Drosophila melanogaster: one gene and its partner. The protein of the gene in region 1 purifies or fractionates together with the protein of each later gene. This does not show direct contact. Each region holds a gene or a part of one and is shown in the gene's direction. Other genes may lie near its edges.

Region 1 (7,629 bases):
TAAGATTTTACGAGCCAACTATGATGAGTCTGTGAGCCCTGTGGTGCCGCCAAATACTTTGTCACGTCCATATCCATATTCCTTACAATGATGGTCTCGTTTGGTATTCAAGCTAACAATAAACATAGCCATCTTCCTTCACGGTCAACATACACGTCCACATTTGAATAGAATGTATTTCAAAAGTAATTGCCATTATTAATTAATTCATTTGAATCTTAATACAATGAGTAGCCAGACCCTTTCCTGCACTATTCCGTGGGAATACCTCTCCAGACTTTATAGCGAATTTTCAATACCATCCTGCAATGTTCCTTTCTAGTTCCTAATCGCATTTCCTGTATCTTATGAGCCAGTTTAAAAAAGACAATATTTCATAAAATAAATAAACAACTCACTGATAACGACTTACCTATTGCAGTTTCTGGCGGGGTTGAGTTGGTTTGATCACGTTGGGACAAAATGTTGAGCGGGTCCTCACTGCGTAAGTAGCCGTTGTGCTCTGGGTGATACTGGAACACCACCTCTCCCCTGATGACCCGCACGCGGGGACCATGGGCTCGAGCGGTGAACTTAACCTTCCCACAGGTGTCTGGCCGGAGACGACGATGAGCTCGTAAGCCGCTGACAACTACAAAGTATTTATCGCATCCGTAGCATTTATACCGCTTCATCCCAATATGCCGTGATAGATGGGAAATTAAAGTTTCCCGGTGAGTAAAGTCTAACGAGCATATCTGCAAAGGGGAAACAGAAAATTGCAATAAATCAATTAACAAATGTCTAATTTCGCTAAGGTAAGCATAGGCTCAATTCTTATACCTTCTCACCTTGCACTTAAATGGTTTCTCTCCGGTGTGACGACGGTGGTGTACCCGCACTTGTCCAGGAGTTCGGAAACGTTTGTCACAGTAGCTGCACTGGTAAGGCAGTTCCCCCGTGTGTATGGACTTGTGAATGCGCAAGGCTCCAAAAGTAGTAAACACTTTTAAGCATTCGGTGCACTGGAACGACTGATTTTTTTTGGGCTTCTTGGAGACCTTTGGTTTTTCTATATTTATACTTGTCGGGGATAAACCTTTGTTAACAGGCACATTGGATAGTGCTGATGTCTGGCCTGTTAATGGAGCAGACGTTTTACTTAGCAATAAAGGCAAATTAACAGTATTGGGTAGTTCTGGAGGAGGCACAGGCGTTTGTGGATTCAATGGCACATGCACTCTTTGAGTTGCAGCATTTGCTGAGTCCTGTGAAAGTACTGCAAGGGCAATTAAAACGAGCACGTTCAAAATTTTAGTTTACTTACTTTTAGAAGGCATTAAAACCACTTTAAGGACGTTACACTTTTCATCGGTTAAGTCGTGCTTGTTAGTCAGATGCGCACGAAATGCGCAATGCTTCTCAAACATTCGCTGGCATAGCGGACAAGTCCACATAAATCGATATAGCGGGTATTGGATCTCCAGTTCCCTGGCCACCATTAAAGCCGACGGGTTGAGCATCAGTTCTACGGGTTTGGGTGCATCCATGGGAGACGACGTTGATTCATCCATCGTTACTTTCGAGGATTGTAGCACTGTTCCCGGCAGTGGCAATGTCTTCTCTATGGACCGAATTTGATTACGAAATTCATTGATTATCTTCATGGATTCGGGTCTGCTCTTGGAATTGTTAAACGAGTCGACAAGAAAGCACGATGATCGACTGTGAGTTTGGGTTGGTTGCACAGTCTTAGCAGACGCATGAGGATTACCCATGGAACCGACAGTACTTATACTTATCGTCTTCGGAATCTTTATGAAATTGGTTGAATTCTCCGTACCACTCAGAGTTACGGTGGGAGAGTCCTTAGGGGCAGCCGGAGCTTGACCTGGCGTCTTAAAAATTTTTGTGTTGGGAGGCAACTTGATGACCATGCAGTTACTAGGTAACACTTTCAGTATATTGGCTGCAATTGAGGAATTTGAAGGTTCTTGGTTGGAAATCGGAATATTCGCATCATCGGATATCACTGAGTGATTGGATTTCTTGTTAAGAGATTCCACATTAGACGTTAGTAGTCCATTTCGCTTAACACCTGCTGAGAAGGTAGTAATAATTATGTAACTACTTTTGTTATTAATTGCAAAGAACTTACGTTTTAAGTGCATCTGATTTTTGGTAGTGGCCAGAGCAGGCAGGCGCAGTTTATTCCTCAACGGAGTATGTATGGCTGTCCAGACGCTACCATTTGACTGTTCCTCCTTAATCCTACTCACATCTGGCATTTCCTCGTCCTGTGGTTCCAATTTTACATTGAGTGGAGGGTTGTCTTCCAATAGCATTCGGTCTGCTTCCTCTGCGTTAAGTGGCTCTTCTTTTATTTGCACATAGCAATTCGACTCTTCAGGTACCGGCGTACTAACTGCCACAAGTTCCGGCTTTGATGATGACCCCTTTCTGAAATCCAGCAGGCTGCAAAAGTCCTGGCTCTGCTTCCTATGCAGATTGAGGCTCTGTTTGGACTCAAAATGCCGACGACAAATGGAGCAAACAAAGCGATATACGTAAATGTGCTTTTGCATATGGCTGGCCAGATCGTCCGCGCTATTGGCCATAAAATCGCAAACCTAAAACGTTCACTGTTTAATCAATGTGTGTATAAAAGTTAAATGCAGATGAGCTCACCCTACAGCACAACACACGCCCTGGCTGGAAATGCTGGCGATATTCATGCTCAAGGATCTTTTCAAGCGTGTCCAGCCAGATACCACAGCCCAGGCGACAAAAATGTAGGTTCATTTCGTGATGAACCCGGTGACTTGATATATCCTGTTGGCTTTTAAACTTGTACTGGCAAATATCGCAATGTTTTGGATTTGGGTTGTCCTCCGATTCAGACGCAAATATCTGGGGGTGTAAGTATTAGCTGATTAAATTTTGTATTAATGCGTTAGCAAAAATCGTACATATACATGTAGCTTGAATTTAGATAGATAATTATGATTACATATATTTACATTTATTATGCAGCCTAAATATGATACTTTGTAAAATTATGACAAAATGTTTAATATATATGTTTAGATTTATGACAGTTATGTCTTCCTTTCGATTAATATTTAGATCCCGTAACGGAATCTCCACGCTACCACGCGACCCTTGTGCTTTTTTAGGTTATGTACATGTATATTTTTTACCTGTTGGTGGCCGAGTTCCAGGCTGGCGATAAATAGGCGCTCGTCCTCGGAACGCAAACGATCCCTGATCGGCACTGTTATCATTTGAGATCCCTCGTCCAAAATTTTCAGCGTATCACATGCTATAAATTGGCCGAATTTAGAAAGAATTAAAAGTTAACGGTAAAGTGCGTAATAGAATAGCAGAGACACCAACACTACGGCGCCCAGCAGCACTCACACACACGCATGTGGGAGGAGAGCATGCAAGCTTACCGCTCAGAATTCTGATTGAACTGTCCGTCACTTCGTCCTGCGGCTCCATCTTGATCTTGATGTCCTCCATGTCAATTTCCCCCTTGGCCAGCGCCAAATTCGCGAGAATTCCGTTCTGATCAGAGGATATCAGATCAACAACTATCAATATAAAGAAGAGAGCAGCAGCGCAATAAATACCGCTGTATACCGCTGCGATCAGAAGACGACTATCGATAGGCGCGGCGTTGCCAGATCAAGTGGCGCAATTATCGGGTGGAGCGGTCAGCCTTCACCACTTGGGGTGGTTATCGATTGACGATAGCCCTCGCAATTTGGGAAAGTAAACAAAAGCAAATCCGTTGAAGAAATCTGTTAAAAATCCAAGATATGAGCAATAGCGAGGACTCGCAGCAGTATCTGAACGACATGCTGGTCAAGGAGGAGGACGAGGCGTCCGGCGGTAAACAAAAGACCATCCACAACCGCGTGTTTTGTTGCTTGACTTTGATTTTTCACCCCCGCAGACGATTCGGACAAACAGGATGGAGGGATAATGCTACGCGAACAGGACCGATTTCTGCCCATCTGCAACATCATTAAGATCATGAAGGTTCCGGTGCCCCAGAACGGCAAGATAGCCAAGGATGCACGAGAGTGCATCCAGGAGTGTGTCTCCGAGTTCATATCCTTCATTAGCAGTGAGGCCATCGAACGTAGCGTCGCGGAGAATCGCAAGACAGTCAACGGGGACGACCTGCTGGTGGCGTTCAGCAATCTGGGATTCGACAATTACGTGGAACCACTGTCCATTTACCTGCAAAAGTACCGAGAGGTCAGTGAGATTACGCTATGCACAGCAGTTAATAACCAAGTAACCCATTGCAGTCGAACAAATCGGATCGTAATCTCTTTCTGGACGCCAGTTATCCGCACAACGAAGATGGGTCCTCCGCAAACGATGCGGGGAAACAGTAACCCCTTTCTTACTTACCCTGTTAGTTAAGGTTCTTTTGACATTAAGGAAATATTTGTCTAATTCAAAGTGTTTTGTTTAATCCTAACAGTACACCTTGATTGACTATTTAAGTTAATATTATCATTACTATTCTTTCTGATTATTTAATTTTTTATTTTGTATATATGATATATGATTTTATTTTAATTGTAACCACAGATTTTATATGCATAAATCCATTTTTACTCTCCCGATACATAGTCAAATTCAATATTTAGGTCTTGGTACTGGTAGCAAACATGAATTTATGTATCGCGGGCCCATTAAGCCAAATTACTGATACTCTTATATAAAATAAATATGTTTATTTAGTAAACATTAATATAAAAACTAGATTTGTTGTTGGTAAGGGCTAATATTGTGAAATATTAAAAACATTTTACGAGTTATCTTAATTGTAGATCATTTTCCGTAGCTGTAGCTGACAAGGAACGACATTCACATACTTACATAAGTAATAGAAAGTAATACAAGCAATCTGCTAAAAATTATATTATCCTAGCCGGTATCCTTCACTGCCCTAGGAAACCGGGACGGAGGCTTTCTCTTCTTGGCTATCCACTCACTTTCGTAAATTACGAGTGGAGCGTTTTCGATCCCAAGGGCGCCCTTCTCAAGCGAAGCGATGGCACTGCCCACCTTTTTACCAAAGACACTAGAATAACAAGATGCGTAACGCCATACGATTTTTTGGCACACGATTTTTTTGCCGTGGCTCTAGAGGTGGCTCCAGGCTCTCTGGAATTTTTGTTAGAGAGCGAGAGAGCGAAGAGCGCTACAGCGAACAGCTCTTTTCTACGCATACAGTGATAACAGACAACTTTATGTGTGCACACGTATGCTCATGCATTGTAAATTTGACAAAATATGCCCTTCACCGTAGAAGTTCTTAGACTTTAAATCTATATTATTTTTGATCAATTGGCATCATGCGAAAAATTCTTGTTTGCATTGCCTTAACGTTATTATTATTTGAAAACAGATTAGAAATAGCCAAATCCATGTACATATCATAACAAAATAAATTTCAAAAATTACTTTATATTAGAATATTTGTCATTAGAGTATTCAGCTTGCGGCGTGTGAAAAATTAATAAGGCAATGATTGTTGAGTGCTTGTGTCCGCACTTCGTGCCTCAAGATATGACCAAAACAAAGACACTAGAATAATTCTAGTGTCTTTGATGTGACTTTTGCAATAAACAGTTTTCATATTTTTATTTATTTTACAAAGACAAATTAGAGAGACAGTTTAGAATTAAAATGCTGAGGAAAGAAAACTCAAACCTAAAAAAAAAATAAGTTAGGTTGGAATCTAAGACCGAAAAAAACATATATTCTGAAATAGATAAAATTAATTTAACAGGAAATGAAAAAATATTAACGAAAATGCTTTTTAAGGAAAAAAGGGCACAAATACAAGATGGAAAAAAAAATTGTTTGCTCAGAGCATATATTACAGGTCCACTTCGACATATACGTTCTTAAGAGACTCGCTGAAATTAAATTTTCCAAGTCCATCATCTTTGCAAAAGTGGAACAGCATAAAAAAGTTACAGCCAGGAGACAACGAATGTTTGTACTCAGCCCTTAAAGAATCTATAAAAGAAATGAATGCATCTGATAAAGAGTGCATATTGGCTTGTGATGAAGTAGCGATAAAAAAAACCTAACTTACAATGTGTCAGTTGATATAATAGATGGAATAGAGCATTTACTTGATCGCTCTAATAAAATCCTAAGCCATATTTGCGTATTTGTTGTTCGGGGTATTTAAAAAAAATGGAAATTTATATTAAACTATTTTGTGGCCGAAACGAATATAAAAGGCGATTGCTTAAAAAGTCTTATTTATAAAAATATTATTATTGCTGAAACAATTGGGTTCAAAGTAAGGGGTGTTGTGTACGATCAAGGAGGTAACAATAGAAAATGTACCTCATTACTTAAAGTCACCAATGAGAAATCTTACTTTACCTTAAATAATAAAAAATATTATATGTTTTATGACATTCCGCATCTTTTCAAGTCTGTAAGGAATAATTTTCTAAGAGCTAATTTTGAAACCCCTGACGGACTAGTTGACTTTGATGTCATTCGAGAGGTTTACGAATTAGATCATGGATCAGTAACGAGAATGACTAAATTAACAAGGAGTCACGTTAATCCAACCAGATTTGATCTAATGCGCGTATGTTTGGCAACTCAAACACTTAGCCACACTGTTGCAGCGGCAATTAAGACTTGTAACCAAAACAAGCAATTACATCGAAATAGTTCCGAAGTTGCAGCTTCTACGGCTGCATTTGTCCAAAAAGTTAATGATTACTTTGATTGCCTGAATAGCAGAGTATTAACTGACAAAAACCCCATGAAATTCGCGCTCCAAGTTAACAATGGAGTTTGGAACAAACTAAAGGAAATGCAGGAATACCTAAAGAGCGTTAAATATCACGGGAATAAAATATATTGTGTTGATGGCTTGATCCAAACTACTGAAGCTATATTTGGACTCCTCGAAGATCTCTTTAAGGATCACACAGACCACTTTTTCTTTTTAACTAGTAGATTAAACCAGGATGCCCTTGAAAATATATTTGCGTGCGTTCGAGCAAAAGGTGGTAACTGCAGAAATCCTTCAGTTAACGAATTTAATATAATAATTGCCAAGCTCATATCTCTACACATTTTTAAATTTTCACAAAAGTCGAATTGCGAATCAGATGATGTTATGTTGCCAATAGAGTTCGATTCGATAATATATCAGCCTTTCGTTGAAAAAAAGAAATACAGCAACAAGAATACTCTGTATCATTTTCCAAAATCGTGCAAGACAATGAGAGGTACTTTGACCAAAATATAGATAACTTTGTGCAATGATGTACCCATTGAATTAACTTCCAGTAGATATTTTGTTGGATATATTGCTAAGGGATCCAGTTGCGATAAATGCAGATCGGTAATTTTAAAAGAAACCGAGCATTTAACAGCTCCATCAGAGCTTTTTATACATGAGAAAAACTACTCAATAGAATCGGACTTCGGGAAATTAAAGGCACCATCTGATTTATTTTTTAATGTTTGCAAAATACACATTAAAGCTTTCGAAAATATTTTTAAAAATAATAAAAAACAAATGTGTATAAAAAAATGTATTATTGAGCAATGCATTAAGTGCACAAATGAAAGTAGTGCCTT
Region 2 (8,545 bases), on another chromosome or scaffold:
GCATTCCTTTGTTTGTTTTTATGGGCGGCTGAAACTGTGTTTTTTAACAGGTGGGCGAGCATTATCTTTCGTTTATAATTTAGGATCTACCAAGTGCAATGACTTGCTCGAATTAAAAATGCACAAAGCAATTTGTTTAAATCCAAAACGAAACCATTGCGCAAAGTGTATTTCTCAGATATCAGATATCGTAACACTGATATCCAACAGATATAGGAGATATGGGAAAAGCTAACCAACCGCAATACAATAACAAAATGTGAGCTCATAAAAAAAGCGAAGCAACAAATTAGTACGGCACTAATACATATGCACGATTGCACGTAAATGTGTGTATCTGTGTTTGTTGTGTGTGCAGCGGCAAATGGAAATTATGGCGAAAATGCGAGCCAAAGGGGAACACGAAATAAATTAACACATTTTTTTATGTAACCCAGCGGCCAGCGGCAACGATGACTAATTGCGATTACTAAGGGCGCAAAACAGGTGGCCGCCAGGAGGGGGTGAAGGGAAAACAGGCAATCAAACAATAAAAGAGCGCATCAATAACAATACTCTTTGTGTGCGTGCCAAAAGGTGAGCAATTTCATAAAGCATACCAACAAACATTTATCTGATTTGTCACACCTGCCTGTTGGAACCGCATACTCATATAAGGGTTAATCTTATCAGAGGCCCACCGTTGTTGCCACCGCCTTTCAAATCAAATCAGACCGCTTTGCCATAGTAATGGTCTGGCAACAACAAATGAGTATCGCTACATGGAAATGTGCGCGTGTGTGTGAGAGACCAACAACAAAACAAGAAAACAAGCAAACGCACGAAGAAAGTTGTGAAAATTCAATTTTCCAATGGCCCAGTCTGATTGGGACTGCCTTGAAGCGTCCTCTAATCAGATAACTATCAATGTAAATGCGTAAATATCAACGCATATGCGTTGTATTTGTGGAAAATATTACGCTTTAACCACATATACACACACCCCCGCTTCCGGTGGGTGTTTTTTTTACGCTGGAGGGGGGAGGGTGGTTTACTCACCTATGCGCTGGCCAACTGGAGTGGAGAAAACATTTCCCAAGGCGCCAACGTTGAAAAATGAAGCCATCGTGGAGAAGTTTCTTATTAATGCTCGCCGTTGGGTTGCAGTGCGGTTAAAATTGTTCTTTATTTACTTTTTGTTCACCTGGATGAAATGTTTATGCACTTGTCTACAGCAGAGTGACCATGGCTGGCCTCAGCGAAAAATACCCACAAAGAAATGCATTACAATAAGTGGGTAAATAGGAATAGGTTTTTTTCCAGGGCTGCAGCATTTTATTTCATTTTATTTAAAAGAATTATCCACAGTTTTTGAGATAATGACATAGTTATACCCGTTACTCGTAGAGTAAAAGGGTTTATTAGATTCGTTGAAAAGTATGTAACAGGCAGACCATATAAAGTATATATATTCTTGATCAGGATCAGTAGCCGAGTCGATCTGGCGATGTCCGCCTGTCTGTACGTTTGAACGTCGAGATCTCAGGAACTATTTAAGCTAGAATGTTTAGATTAAGCGTGCAGATTCCAGAGACATAGACGCAGCCCAAGATTGTTGACCCATGTTTCCATGACCACTCCAACGCCCACATTAGATTGTTCTTAGTTTTATTGTTCACCTTGCACCTTGCACCTTTTGGATTGTAATCACACCCACATCTTTAAACAATTTTAATTTTTTCTCATTTTATTCGCAATCCGACTAGCTGAGTAACGGGTACCTCATAGTCATGGTTGTTCACAGAGCGTGTTATGTATCTCAAAAACTTTGTAATTTCAAAGAGTTATTTCACAATTCATTCCACAGATTTCGTGGATAATGAATTTTCGATTGTTCAACCTTGCACCTGTCTCAAAAATGAGCTTTCCGTCAGCGGTCCTTCTGACGGTACCGCTGGCGGTCCCACTGATGGTTCCGCTGATGGTCCCGTTGATAGCCCCACGGACGGTCCCCTTGACGGTTCCGCTGACGGTCCCTTCGATGGTTCCGCTGCCGGTCGTGCTGACGGCCCCGTCGACGGTCCGGCTGATGGTCCCTTCGACGGTCCCGCTGAGGGTTCCGCTGAGGATCCCGCTGAGAGTCCCACTGAATGGCATTGGAACGAACTCGTTGATGACCAATCCAATGACGGTCGCGCTGACGGTCCCGCTGACGGTAGCGCTGACGGTCTGGCTGAGGGTCCCGCTGAAGGCTCCTCTAGCGTTCCCGCTGACTTTCCCGCTGACGTTCCCGCTGACGTTCCCGCTGACGTTCGCGCTGACGCTAACGCTCCTGCTGACGGGCACGTCGTCGGTCTCGCTGTCAGTGATCTCCATGTCGACGGCCCAGATTTCCGAGGACAGTTCATAGGATTCGTCCTCTGAAAGAAGAGAACGTAGGGTATATTAGTGAGTGAGGCTTTGAGACTTATATTTTGATAGTCCCGACTTGGTTAGTCGGCTAAACTTCTCTGTTCCAAGACCCATAATCTTAAGCCCATTTAGATCTAACTATAAGTTGCATGATTCTTACAGAATATTGTGTTCTGACTATAATAGTCATTATCCTATTATCTGTAATCTTTGCTCTCTGCCGCTCTTAAAGCAATCAATCAAATCAATCGGTGCATTATTCACAAATACGACGCAAAATTTGTTTTTGGTTAGATTAAGGAATATATGAGTTAGCGGTTCCAACAGGCTGATAGGACAAATCATATGCCTCGCACGTAGGGTATAAACTGAGAAGAAACGTGTTTTTCCCCGGAATTCTTTGCGACACATACAGTTTGTCAAGAAACTGTTTACACACTGTGAAATAAGTTGAATTTTTGACTTTAAAGCTAAAAATAAAGGGTTTTTTGCTTAATTAAACGCAATTTTTTTATAAAATATAATTAAACAATATTTATTTTACTTATAAATCAAAAAACAAATTAAAAATATTAAATATACAAGAAAATAAACAACAAATTCCAAGTTTACACACTTTTGAGACTGTCAAGAAACTCTTTACACATTTTGTTTTCCTACTTTGTTTTGTTCTTTTTCTTAGAACGAACTCGATTTTTCCGTTATTTTTGGCTTTACATTGCTTTTTACAACGCTTCTATTGAAATTTGTTGACTTTGCTTGTGAAATTTTGCTGATCAAACGTGCTTAAAGCGAATTATTAAATTTAATAAAATGCCTGGAAAGAGATTAACTTTTGAAGTTACCCAATTAATAAACTATAACCACCAGTTGGGAAAATCTTTTCCAGAATTAGTATAAATGTTTCCTGTATCCCGTAAGACCGTCTACAATGTTTTAAAAGGCTCGGAAAAAGAGGGCAGGCTTGAACCTAAGAGTGGTGGTGGGCGGAAAATTAAAATTAAAAAGCGTGTAGACCGCTTTATTATGCGAATAGTGATTGCGAACCCCCGAATCTCGGTCAGATCACTTGCTCTGGATATCAGGCAAGAATGTCACCTAACTGTGTCACACGAAACTGTGCGCCAAGTCATCCTACGCCATAGGTACTCTTCAAGAGTTGCAAGGAAAAACCCTTTGCTATCAGATGCCAATATTGAAAAGCGTCATTTATTCGCTATGAGCATGATGGATCATGCGGAAGAGTACTGGGATGACGTCATATTTTGTGACAAAACAAATATGATGCTCTTTTATAACGACGGGCCAAGCAGAGTATGGCGCAAACCGTTGAGTGCGCTAGAAAAACAAAATATCATTCCAACAATAAAATTTGGAAAAATGTCACTGATGGTTTGGGGCTGTATCACCAGCCGTGGAGTGGGAAAACTAGCCTTAATTGAGAGCACAATAAATGCCGTGCAATATCTAGGAATTAAAAAAAAAAATTTGAAGGCCAGTGCAGAAAAATTTGGTCTAGTTAGCAACAACAAGCCAAATTTTATGTTTTACCAGGACATGATAAGAAACATAAAGAGTGCAATGTACGCACCTGGCGCCCTTATAACTGTGGTAAAGTGATCGATACGCCCCCTCAGAGTCCTGATCTGAACCCCATTGAAAATTTGTGGACCTACTTAAAGAAGAAGGTGGCAAAAAGGGACCTAAAACACAACAACAGCTTATGACTGTAATAGTCGAAGAGTGTGAAAAGATCCCGTTTGAATATGACCTGCAAAAACTTGTCCAATCCATGAAAAAAAGGCTTCAACTTGTAGCTAAAGCCAATGGGGAACATACTACATACCAAAACTTTTAAAATTTTAATAAAATAATTAAAAAATTTAGGTTTAAACTTCGATTTAGTGTTTTGTGTAAAGAGTTTCTTGACAGTCTCAAAAGTGTGTACACTTGGAATTTGTTGTTTATTTTCTTGTATATTTAATATTTTTAATTTGTTTTTTGATTTATAAGTAAAATAAATATTGTTTAATTATATTTTATAAAAAAATTGCGTTTAATTAAGCAAAAAACCCTTTATTTTTAGCTTTAAAGTCAAAAATTCAACTTATTTTACAGTGTGTAAACAGTTTCTTGACAAACTGTATGTATGTACACTTGCCACACTTTTTGGTGTTGTAATTATATCTTTCGGATCAGAAACCTCGCAATTTACGTGGCATTATAATTAAATATATTATTATTATTAAAATGTAACGAACATTATCCAAAATAAGATACAAATTGAAAAAAATACGGAGAACTAGAGTTCACTAAAATTATTAAAGGTTCCATAGGTTTCATACCTATGGCCCTAATATTGGAGGAAATATTTCCCATTGCGGTGGAGTTATTTATTATAGTTATTTTCACTGGTTATTTTATGTTATGGTATTTTCACTGGTGGAAGTACGGAGACTGAATGATATATGTTCTGCAGCCATGCAATATATATAAGTACAATTTATTAAATTTTTTAATCTAACATTGCTGTGGTGAGTATGGGGGTTGGGTCATAGCGTTTAGTATAAGTATTTTAAGTTAAGTACTTTTCTTGAGTGACATGGACTGGTAACATTAACATATGGCACAATATTTTAATTATTTTTACAAATAGCATTTAATTTTAAACTAGCATTAATTTCTTTTTATATTTTTGGATACCCCGTCAGAAGGACGAAAGCACCGGAAGGACAGAAGGACAGGAGTCATCGCCGGGGATAAATTGGAGTTTTGCAGCATTTAAATATAGCCGACTGTCCCACCCACTGTCCCTCCCACTGAAATCTTAATGTTGCAGATCTATTGCAGAAATCTTATTGTTAATAAAGCGGTTCATGACATGGATTGGTTGTGGTATTGGTACTAAAGAGGGCGGATCTTAAACTCCTCCCACTGTTATGTTATTATCTCAAAAACAGTGGAAAATTTTTAATGATTTTTTAATTTAATGAAATATTCCTGAAATGTCCTTAAGGTCTGAGGAGTTAAGGTTTGAGGAGGTCTAGCGTGCAAAATGTTGGGGAGCCGATTATTCTATCGCATTATTTTTTTACTTTCTTGAGCCCTATAAGTAGTACATAGATAGTTAGATCTGCCATTTTGAAACATTTTTGCATTTTTATTCTTGGGAATTTACTCCCAAATAACGTTAGCGCAAATTTATTAATTAATGTATTTATTAAATAAATTTATTATACTGATAACATATTAATATAGCAAAAAAAAATACGTTTTTGAATATATGTGCATTCTTTTTAAACTGCTGCACACATTTATTATTTTTTTGGACTCTTACAATACTTTTTCAAAAATTTTAAATATAACTGCGACTTTGAGCGATACTTTCACTTTTCCCGTGACGCCAACCGATATGCACAGCGCTTGCAGCCCTGGCCAATTTTGATGTGTTTCAGCATTGTACCCTGACAACCCTGCTCTGTAAAACTAGGAAAAACAGAAAATTTTATTTTCAATTGTTAAATATCCAAACGTAAACAGCCGGAAAATGTCACGACAAGCCTCTCGTTTGGACGCCAAGAAAGTGGTAAGTTGGCCAAAGAAGAGAGAACAGCGCAAGATCGGTATCGTTAGTCATTTGGAGGCATAGATCTAGTTGTAAGGTTAGATTTGTGCCATAGTGCCTAAGAACGAATCTTTGACGTGCCATCCACCCTCAAAATCGGCTTCATTCACTTTTCCAGTAAGTGTGTGTGTTGGGGGCTTGAGGTTGAGACACGGACACACAGACAGGCACAAGCCGACGTGCAATCAGGCAATGGAAAACCATTTCAGCGCCACCAGTCGCCCCTCAGCCACGCCCAGAATGTGCACCACCGCCTCTGCCGTCGGTGCTGCCGCCAGCGCCGCCGCCGCCGCCGGCAACAACAATAACAACAGCAATAGCAGCAGCAACAACAACGCAACAACCGGCAACAATTTAAGTGTTAGCACTGCAGCCGGAGGAGCCACAAATGCCGCAGCAACGGCACAACCCATCCAAGTGATACCAATGCCCATGCTGCCCACCGGAGCGGCGCAAATCATAATTGGCCAGCAGCCACAGGGTCAGGCGACGGCGACGGGTCTGCAGCCACAATTGATACCGCTGCAGGCCAACCAGATTATGCTGCAGGCTGCGCAGCAGCAGCCACAGATGCAGGTGATGCAGCTGCCCGATGGCCAGACTATATTCTATCAGACGCCCACCATTGCCGCCTTGGATCCGAATGCAGCGGCCAACGCCGCAGCTGCCATGGCAGCCCAGCCGACGCCGCACTACCTCAATATCAATGGGCAGCTGGTGCAGATCAATCCAGCACCGAGCGCTAATCAGGCGGCACCCACAGCTGGGCAACAGATTATAATGGTGCCGCAGACAGCGATGGCAGCGGTGAATGCAGCGGCCGCCAATGCCGGAGTAGGCGCCGGAGTGGGCACAGTGGTTACCCAACAACAACAGCAGCAGCATCAACAAGTACAATCCCAGACCCAAAACCAGCAGCAGCAGCAACAGCAGCAGACGGTGGCGGCGGTGGCTGCCAGTGCTGCAGTCAATAATATAAGCGCCGATGTCAGCACAAGTACAACTGGAACGAATACGAACAGCGAGGACGAGAGCTCCAAGGGCGAGGCGGACGAGGAGCCGCTCTATGTGAATGCCAAGCAGTACAAACGTATTCTCATTCGGCGGCAGGCCAGGGCCAAGCTAGAGTCGCGCATACCCAAGGAACGGTGCAAGTATCTGCACGAATCTCGTCATCGCCACGCCATGAATCGGGCTCGTGGCGAGGGTGGTCGCTTCCATTCGGCACAGGAGAAGGGCGACCAAGATTCGTCCGGCCCGGAAGGCGGCAGCATGCCAATGGCGTCCAGTGGCGGCGTCACCCTCAGCCGTGGCACGGCACGTGCTCCGCCCAAACTGATCGCGCCACATCAAACGCCCAGCATTACCATAACGGCGATCAAATCGGAATAGTCGCCTCCTAGCTGTAGGATACAAACTAGATAAGATTGTAGTCATAGCGTTTAGTCCTAAGCCAGTCGCTCTGTGTCCATTTGTCCTCAATCACACCACTTTAGTCGGCTCACATAGTTTTCATTTTTTTTTTTTTTCAAAATTAAGTCTTCATATATTATTTTCAAAGGGAATTTTTGGGTTTTTCTATTTATTTTCATTCACTTAGATTGGAAAAGTGATAAGTTCAAGAAAGAGATAATTGTTTTACTTATTATATTCATTTTCTAAATCGTTTCTAATTTCTAATATTTATTTTCTGTTAGCCAGCTGTTAAAAATTGTTTGTAATTATTAAATAGAGAATTTATTTCATTTACTAGACATTTTCAAAATTTACACAAGTAATGCAATTATTAATTTAGGGTTTATAGTTCATTTCAAAATGGAATGGGGAAAGGGCTGCCAATAGTCACCGCAAAACAACAGAGCTCAACAATATAAGATTCAACAAGGGTGAATGATATAGTCGCCTTCCCCGACTATCAGATACCCGTTACTCAGCTTTTGGAAATGCGAACTCGAAATTTCAAAAGTTCATAAATTTCAAACAAATTTTTTGGCAAATCGATAGAAGACTAATAAAATTATGAAAAAATATCCAAAAAATTTTCAAAAGTGTGGGAGTGGCAATTTTGTGCGGCTTGTGGGCGCTGCGTCGTGGTCTCTATCATTAACCTCAATATCAACCCTTTAGCGTTTATATTTCCTGAGATCTCTTTTAAACGGACAGACGGACATGGTTACATCGACTCGGCTACTGATTCCGATCAAAAATATATATACTTTATATGGTCGGAAACGCTTCCTTCTGCCTGTTACATACTTTTCAACGAATCTAGTATACTCTTTGAATCTACGAGTAACGGGTAAAGCACCATTGAGGACCATTTGCCGCATAATAAATGCAACACAGTTTATAAAATTAAAAAAAAAAAGCATATACATTTACTGCGGAACTCGTGAATGGCTACAGTTTTGTATATGGTACAGGCCTATAAAACGCTTTATTCTGGCTCTGGATTGATTTTTATTCGCTATCTGCTCTCTCCTCTCTTCCTCCTTTGTACAACAAACGAAAAATCAAAACACAGAACTC

The links.
Region 2: the proteins of Nf-YB (region 1) and Nf-YA purify together in Drosophila melanogaster (affinity purification with mass spectrometry, with the first as the bait; 2 studies listed by BioGRID). This does not show direct contact.

The regions. Positions count from the first base shown.
Region 1 is NT_033779.5:19,732,333-19,739,961, forward strand, and holds Nf-YB (nuclear factor Y-box B), read left to right. Parts: upstream 1-3,711; 5' UTR 3,712-3,803; coding exon 3,804-3,876; intron 3,877-3,940; coding exon 3,941-4,248; intron 4,249-4,301; coding exon 4,302-4,391; 3' UTR 4,392-4,756; downstream 4,757-7,629. Other genes in the region: CG10462 (uncharacterized protein), read right to left, coding at 319-344, 413-737, 831-1,258, 1,307-2,080, 2,138-2,609, 2,668-2,889, 3,180-3,301, 3,435-3,504.
Region 2 is NT_037436.4:9,439,556-9,448,100, reverse strand, and holds Nf-YA (nuclear factor Y-box A), read left to right. Parts: upstream 1-5,833; 5' UTR 5,834-5,938; coding exon of another isoform or gene 5,939-5,977; intron 5,978-6,134; 5' UTR 6,135-6,208; coding exon 6,209-7,408; 3' UTR 7,409-8,045; downstream 8,046-8,545. Other genes in the region: CG3529 (uncharacterized protein), read right to left, coding at 1,039-1,105; Srg3 (Sting-regulated gene 3), read right to left, coding at 1,816-2,399, 4,737-4,770; Bet3 (blocked early in transport 3), read left to right, coding at 5,939-5,977, 8,541-8,545.